Linked DNA regions of Sus scrofa. The main gene of each other region encodes a partner of the protein of the gene in region 2 in a complex. Links are inferred from orthologs where the notes say so. Each region holds a gene or a part of one and is shown on either strand. Other genes may lie near its edges. The genes, in order: NCAPD3 and SMC2.

Region 1 (3,822 bases), on a different chromosome or scaffold from region 2:
GGAAGTCTGAACTCCTGCTAACACTGGCTGGCTTCTGCTCTGACAGGTGACCAAAGGCAAACACTGCTCTTCATTGCTCCGTGTGAAGGAGCAGAAGTGTCGACAAATGTGGTCAGTGGCAGGTTAGTCAATGGTTGACCTGGGCGAGGGCTTTTTTTTCCTTTTTCTTTGTCTTTTTAGGGCTGCACCTGCAGCATATGGAGGTTCCCAGGCTAGGGGTCTAATCGGAGCTGAAGCTGACAGCCTATGCCACAGCCACAGCAACATGGGATCTGAGCCACGTCTGCGACCTACACCACAGCTCATGGTAACGCCAGATCTTTAACCCACTGAGCAAGGCCAAGGATCGAACCTACGTCCTCATCAATGCTAGTTGGGTTCATTAACCGCTGAGCCATCACAGGAACTACCAGGCTTTTTTCTTTTTAAACTTACAAGCAAACTAAAGCTTTATTATATAGCTTAGTATTTTAAAAATCACTAAATCGTACATAAACAACTCGCTTTTAAAGAAAAGAGATCTTTGCCAGAAATTAGGCCAATTGCTGGGCTGTCTGGCATAAGGGAAAAGGCTTACCTGGCAATAGCCAAGTCTGGGTCTACCAGTGTGCTGACAAACCGGAAGAACAGGGGGCCCTTCCACTTCACGAAGTCCTCCTGCATGAGAGAAGGCATCATGGGGGCTTCAACATGCAGCCCCTCTGTTTCCAGGGCCATCTGCACTCACCCCACCCACCCCAAGAGCACAGGGCTGTGGGAGAAAAGGACTCAGAGCTCCTGCCCTGCAGGAAGAGGGTCAGAGGCACCCTTGTGATGTGCACACCATAGGAGACAGTGAGGGCCCAGAACAGACACAAATCACTTAAATACCTTCTGATCAAATAGTATTTCCCCTCATGTGGACACATCTCCCAGGCTCTCAGAGCATGTCTTTGGGGATGCCGGGGCAAGGGTAAGGGTCCTCACTGTACAAATGATGATGTTCCATCTGGGAACACGGACCCTTCAAAGAATGGGAACTAGACCTACTTGTCTATGTAAACTTTTCTCTATGTGCTGAGTATTTGTAAAAATACCATTTCACCCTGCAAGACTGGGTCTCTGAACAAACACCCAAAAGGAATATTAGGAAGTAAGAATCTACTTAAAAGTCTGTTCAGAACACTGGAAGAGTGGTATCTGAAAGTGCAGTTGAGGCTCCTGTGACTCTACTACACAGCCACCTTCGGCGCTGCCCAGGTACCCCTGGGCCAGGAGCAGGCCGGTGGGGGCAAGACCACCTGCGCACCTGCAGCAGGTCAGTGAGCAAGAGCAGCGTCTGCCTGCGGATGAACGGCTCTGAGTCCTTCAGACACGCAGAGATGTTGGGGATGTACTTGTCCACCATGGCCGTGTACCGCTTGCAGAGATCACACATGGTGATGACGACGTTGTTGCGGACGGCCATGTCGCTGCACACCTCCAGCTCACGCACCAGGGCTGGGATGCTCCTCTTGGCGAGATCCTCATGCTGTAAGCACAGCTTTCCTGCCACCAAGAGAGGGATACCCTGATTCTTTATTCTATGCCTTCTCTCCAGCTGTAACCTGCTTTGGATATTATTTCATCAAAGTCAAAACATCGACAATCACAAAAAATCAAAGGCAGACATAACTCAAACAAAACAGTAAGAAGTTCAAAATACCACCTGCCCAACCCAGGGTGTCCTGAGATGGACACTCTGAGATGTTCCTTTACTGCAGTAAAGTCACCAGCGCTTGAGTTTTGGAGCTAATTACCTGGAAAATGACCGATAAAACCCATGATACATTTTACATCTCTCTCTTTTTTTTTTTAACGGTTGCACCTGCAGCATATGGAAGTTTCGAGCTAGGGGTCAAATTGGAGCTATAGCTGGGGCCTACTCCACAGCCACAGCAATGGCAGATCTTTAACCCACTGAGCGAGGCCAGAGATCAAACCTGCATTCTCATGGACACTATGTTGGGTTCTTAACCTGCTGAGCCACAATGGGCAACTCCACATTTTACTTTAGATTATACTTATAGTTGATAGAAGCTAAGAAATTGAAGAATGAACTTGAAATGTGAGTGAGTCAAATACACAATCATGTCATTTATCACACCTTTTTTTCTTTTATTGCCTGGGGAATGTTTTCCTCTTATTTACAATTCTTAGATTTTTGAAAAAAAAAATTACTACAAAAAGATTTGTAACTCATACCAAGAATAAAATATAGTCACAAGAAATTGAAGGAGTTTCCTGGTGGCTCAGCAAGTTAAGGATCAGGCATTGTCTGCTGTGGATCAGGTTGCAGCTGTGGTATGGGTTTGATCCCTGACCCTAGAATTTCTGCATGTTGTGGGCACAGCCTCCCCCCCAAAAAAATCAAAATTCAAATTATTGCATAGATGTCAGTCTTCTCAAGATAAACAACCATATGAATTCATGGAAAGCATCAGACTATCTCTTTATAAAGTGACCTGCAAATTTATTTCTTCATTCCTAGAACTCAGTGCAGTACCTGGCATACAGATCTTCATGAATAGGCCTCAGGGTGTTATTGCAAGTATAAAAAAAGTCACAGGAACAGGTTTAAAGGTAATAAATAGAGAGTGTACTGCAGATCTGGGTGCTTCTATAGTTGCCTCCTGAGCTCAGGGGCTTTTTAAATCACTGGCTTATTTAAGACAAAACCACATGTGGAGGTGGCTGCCCCAGGTCTCCTTACTCACCCAAGGCAATGACGGCATGTGCTCTGATCACGGAGGGCATGATGGAGCTGTGGATCCCTGGGAGGGGTTGGGAGGCTGTGGCCTCACTGCCGCCTGGATCTGAGGCTGGCACTGTAGGAGGGAAGGAGGTTTACTGCTCTACTCCGGGGGCTAACCCAGCCTGCAGGCAGCAGGTGCAAAGGGTAGGCAGGTGCCTTACAGTGGTCCGTGCTGGGAGAAGCAGCCAGGATGGACTGGATCAGCAGGAAGGCTCTCTTGTCCACTCTAGCTGGACAGAGCTGGGCTACGTCTCCTAAGGTGAAAATGTACTTCACCTGCAGAGAGAATTGGTTCTGCAGTAAGAATAAGGCAAGAGAAAAATGAACTCTAGCAAGATTAAGGCCATGTCAGTGAAGTACTTGTACCTTTTTTTGTCCCATATTAAATGACTGTTTCCCCCCATAAAAATACAAGGCCATTGTAAAAATTCATCCAAAATCAGGGTGATATACAGTTTTATCATCTATGTCTAGATACTCCTTCCAGTCAAAGGGGTGCTGCTCACAACTGCACCGCAATAAAGTGAATCACAGTGTTTTCAGGTAAGTGGGGACACAGAACAGCCACTAACTGCAGATACCGTCCTTGATTTTGTTTGACTTTCTTTTCTAAGTCACAGTCATAGTTCCAGGGCTTCACTTTGCTCTTCTCACATACTCACCAATCACATGAGGGTGAAGTCTGTGATTCTTTAGTATCAGCATCCTTTCATGTTGATATGTAAGATAAATAGGTTCAATGACTACATAAGCATGCTAAACCTCACACTGACCTAACCCTCTCCTGACCTAACACCACTGCCCCTGGAGAGCTGAGCAGGCTGGGAGGGCACATGATCTGTGGCAGCTCCGAAACCCACTTTCAGGTCATTGTCCTGATGAGCTCAATAGTTAGACTCCCACCAAAACTGAGGAGAACCTGCCTCCTCAATCCACCACTACCATGTTCTCATCAAGGATATCCAGTTTAATGGGTAATACTGTCTTCTTTAATTTTGAAAACGCAAGGGTGATGCTCAACAAACAGTAAAATGTTAAAAATAAGGCTT
Region 2 (3,822 bases):
GTCTTCTAAAGATCGAAGTATACCTCCAGTTTCCTATAATCAAATAACCCAATTCAGTCATGTACTTAAAATATGTTCATATTATCACTTTCTTATATAATTTCTATATACTTACTTTTCATAAGCTATTTTATCATACTGTAAGATTAATAATCACTATAGAAGACAATACTAGTAAATCCTAAACATTGTATATAATTTAGTATTTTTTTCACAGAGTATATTATCTATTCTTACATATATGTCTGACCTTATCTTTTCTTTTTTCCAACTCTTCTATTTCATGACTAAGTGCTTTTATTTTTTTATCATTCTCAGACAGTTCTTCTTGAAGCTTTAGAATTTTATCTTGCATTTCTTTTAACTCCTCAGCTGAGCGTTCTTTGGTATCTTCAGCCAGCAAAAACTGATAAGCAATGTATAAATGACTCAAATGTTCTATTTCTCTCATTACTTTTTGGTACTCCAAATAGGAAGATCTTTCCTGAAAGAGAAAGCACCAATAAAGTATAACTCAAAATTCATGTTTCTAAACAAATTTAGAAAGAATCAAAATTGAGCCAAATGTACAAAATTTCCCATTACATGATATAGCAGGTCCTTTCTTAGATTGAGTGATCACGGATTATAAATTTTAGGAAACTTTAAATAATATTAGAACTTTGGCTTTTAAGGAAGCATACCATCTGAAGTGAATCCTATGTAGCTATTTCTTCTCACATATAATCAGGCAGTTGGGATTAACAAAGAAATGCGGACAAAAGGTTCACAGACTGGAGGTATTGAGAGATCTATATAAATACAATCTGCACAACCATGAACGATACACCATTAAATGTATTTTGTAGTAATATTACCAAGATGCCTACCCAAACATTCATTTATGTAACTACAAACATTTGGTTACACATTATCAAACTGAATTCTCATAGGACCTACTGGGGCAGACAAAATAACAATTAAAATCCCTAATTTGCAGATGAAGAAACAAATTAAAAGTGATTAAATGACCTCTCCGTATTGTCAGATTTGGAAAGAATTTGGCAAAATAAGGTATGACACCTAAGTTTAAACTCATAATCTAGCGTTTTCCAATAAATCATACATACTAAAGGCAGTACCTTCAAAGCCACAATTTTTCAGTTTTTCCAATAACATCTATGCTACTATATGGATTCAGAAGACAGTTTTGAGAAATATCAAATTTTTGTGAACATTTAATAAATTCCTAAATGTATAATTTTAAAACAATGCACTATAAATGCATTCTTTCACTGGAACACTGATTTTGATGTGAGAAGCTGCAAAGACTACAGAGAAAACATAGTTATCTGTTCCAGTACCTTTCACTTACCAACTGCCTGGACAGTGGTAACTGTAGCAGTAGCACCCCTTATTCTAGAGGTTATTCACTCTTTTTACTAAGAGTGCCATATCTTTCAAAAGTTTTTTAAAATTTTTGAAGTATAGTTGATTTACAAGAATGCCTATCTTTAAGAAATGCTATTCCACTCAATTCCAACTATCCAGGAAAATGGAGAGTTCTCTTCCACAAAAAACTAAATTCTGACACATCATCTTCTGAGATTATGAAGGGCAATGTACAAAACCATTATGACTTAACAGAAATGAAGTACACTGTTCTCTACAAGCAGAAGACTGAGTATGGAGTCCACCAACTCTAACTCATCCCTGTGAAAAACTCCTGAGAAGCGGTACACTTTCCATCCCTATGTATATGATCGTGGATACGTCACCAATTTTGAGACATATTCTGGCTGGATTTCCTCAAATATACAGTGTATATACCTCTTTTAATTTTTGAATGGTTGGAGTAATTTCTTCTTCAAGAATCTGGAAAATAAAGGAAAATCATATTTTTTAGTATGTGAAGTACCATTAAAGAAATTTAAAAGAAAGAAATAGAATAGAAGACTAAGGAAAATTGAACTGAGGGTGATGGAGGGTGGATTTCCCTCTTTACAGCAGAGAGATTCTAAATACAAAATTACACTCTTCTCTAAAAATATTTTATATAAATTTAATTACCGTCTTAATTTCTTTTAGCTTAGCCTCCTTTTTCTCTATTGTCTTCTGGGCAGCTATTTTTTTGTATTCATACATCCTAGTTCCAGCTGCTTCTTCTATCATGGACAAAATCTGTAAAGATACTTGTTTTAACGTTTTAAGAATCCAAGACAATGAGTTTCATTGGAATTTACATTAATGATATTATTTAGGGCCTTAACCTCACCAAGAATTTTAACAAAATTATGGACCATAAAAGTTAAGTATATAAATGTACATATTATCCATTAACCCTAACATTCAGGACATACTCCTGGCCTTCACTCCAATTTTAAAATCAAACTTTATGCTACATGAGGTTCCAGAGTACATCTCTTTTAAGACTGAAGCCAGTAATTCCTTCCTTCTCTTTTCCTTCAAATACAAGACTTAAAATTAAGGCTAACAATATTCATCTTTCATTTTACAAATCTCTACTTAGAATTGTTGTAAATAAGACTTCAGCCATTTTGTGCATACATGGATGAAGCATGGTCTAATATTTGCATTTGAACTGTGGCACATGCTTGGGCAAGGAACTTATTCTCTGTGCCCCAGTTTTTTCATCTGCAGAGTCCTGATACTATCTTATAACACTGTTGAGAAGTAAACAAAATAGTTCATGTGAGAAGTACTGTAAGAAAAGGAAGTAGTATTATTATTATAATTAATTTTATAAGGACAATTTTGCTAGCATTCCTTTTTCAGAAGCTTCTATTCACCATCAGTCCCTCTCCCAGGAGGATTATTTCTCTGAAAACCATTTTAATTCTATGTATTTGGAAAATAAGCATGAACAATGGTCAAACCAGACTAGTGTTACTGATTATCAGTCATCTTCTTAGTTTTATTCCATAGGAAAAAATACCAAAAGAGCCTTTGCTCTTGTTTAAAATGTTCATTCTTTCACACCAACTCTTCTCAAGGGAGCTCCAAGAGAAAATTAAGTCTTAATGTCCTGAGTAATCCACTGTATGGAATGAATTAATTTCACTCAGATCTTTTTCTGTAGGTTTAACTCCGACATGAACATCAGTTGAGAAAGGCTACTTTTTCTAGTCAAAAATTCTTTTAATATGGTATTGGGCATATAAAACTCCTAGAAGAAATTTAAAAAGGTAAGGTCTTTGACATCTGTCTTGGTGATGAATTCTTTGGATCTGACACCAAAACCAAAAATAAACAATGAGACTACATCAAAATAAAAAGCTTCTGCACAGCAAAGAAAATTGTTAACAAAATGAAAAGGCAACCTACTGAATGTGAAAAAGTATCTGTAAATCATATATATAAGGGGTTAATACCCAAACACACAAAGAACTCATACAACTCAATAGGAAAAAACCCTATGAAAAAAATGTGCAGTATGACATCTTCCCATAGAAGACATACAAATGGGCAATAAGTACATGATTAGATGCTTAATATCACTAATCATCAGGCAAGTACAAATCAAAATGACAATGAGATATCAACTGTTAGAATGGCTATTATCAAAAATATAAGAAATAAGTTTCGGTGAATATGTGAAGAAAAGGGAACCCTTGTGCACTATTGGTGAGATTGTAAATTGGTGCAGCCATTATGGGAAACAGCATGGAAGCTGCTCAAAAAATTAAAAATAGAACTACTAGGGCATCCCCCAATGTCTCAGTGGATATCAATCTGACTAGTATCCATGAGGATGCAGGTTTGATCCCTGGCCTCTCTTAGTAGGTTAAGGATCTGGTGTTGCTGTGAGCTGTGGTATAGGTC

The links.
Region 1: the proteins of SMC2 (region 2) and NCAPD3 are in contact, whole or in part, in a cryo-EM structure (PDB 9F5W), measured with the Homo sapiens proteins. The link is inferred for Sus scrofa from reciprocal best matches to the Homo sapiens genes SMC2 and NCAPD3. Residues at the interface, in NP_001036015.1 of Homo sapiens: Arg112, Ala122, Asn123, Asn124, Thr125, Arg126, Leu218, Lys222, Arg225, His229, Trp940, Asn942, Ala943, Glu944, Phe948, Arg981, Met985, Arg986; in NP_056076.1 of Homo sapiens: Asp31, Met72, Ile80, Pro127, Gly128, Ala131, Phe135, Pro137, Asp141, Lys235, Gln237, Gln240, Leu1121, Asn1196, Asn1200, Pro1203.

Annotation. Positions count from the first base shown.
Region 1 is NC_010451.4:60,733,430-60,737,251, forward strand, and holds part of NCAPD3 (condensin-2 complex subunit D3), read right to left. Parts: intron 3,050-3,822; coding exon 2,935-3,049; intron 2,847-2,934; coding exon 2,736-2,846; intron 1,528-2,735; coding exon 1,289-1,527; intron 658-1,288; coding exon 578-657; intron 1-577.
Region 2 is NC_010443.5:245,415,963-245,419,784, reverse strand, and holds part of SMC2 (structural maintenance of chromosomes protein 2), read right to left. Parts: intron 2,161-3,822; coding exon 2,050-2,160; intron 1,855-2,049; coding exon 1,810-1,854; intron 485-1,809; coding exon 251-484; intron 34-250; coding exon 1-33. UniProt on the Homo sapiens protein: Central component of the condensin complex, a complex required for conversion of interphase chromatin into mitotic-like condense chromosomes.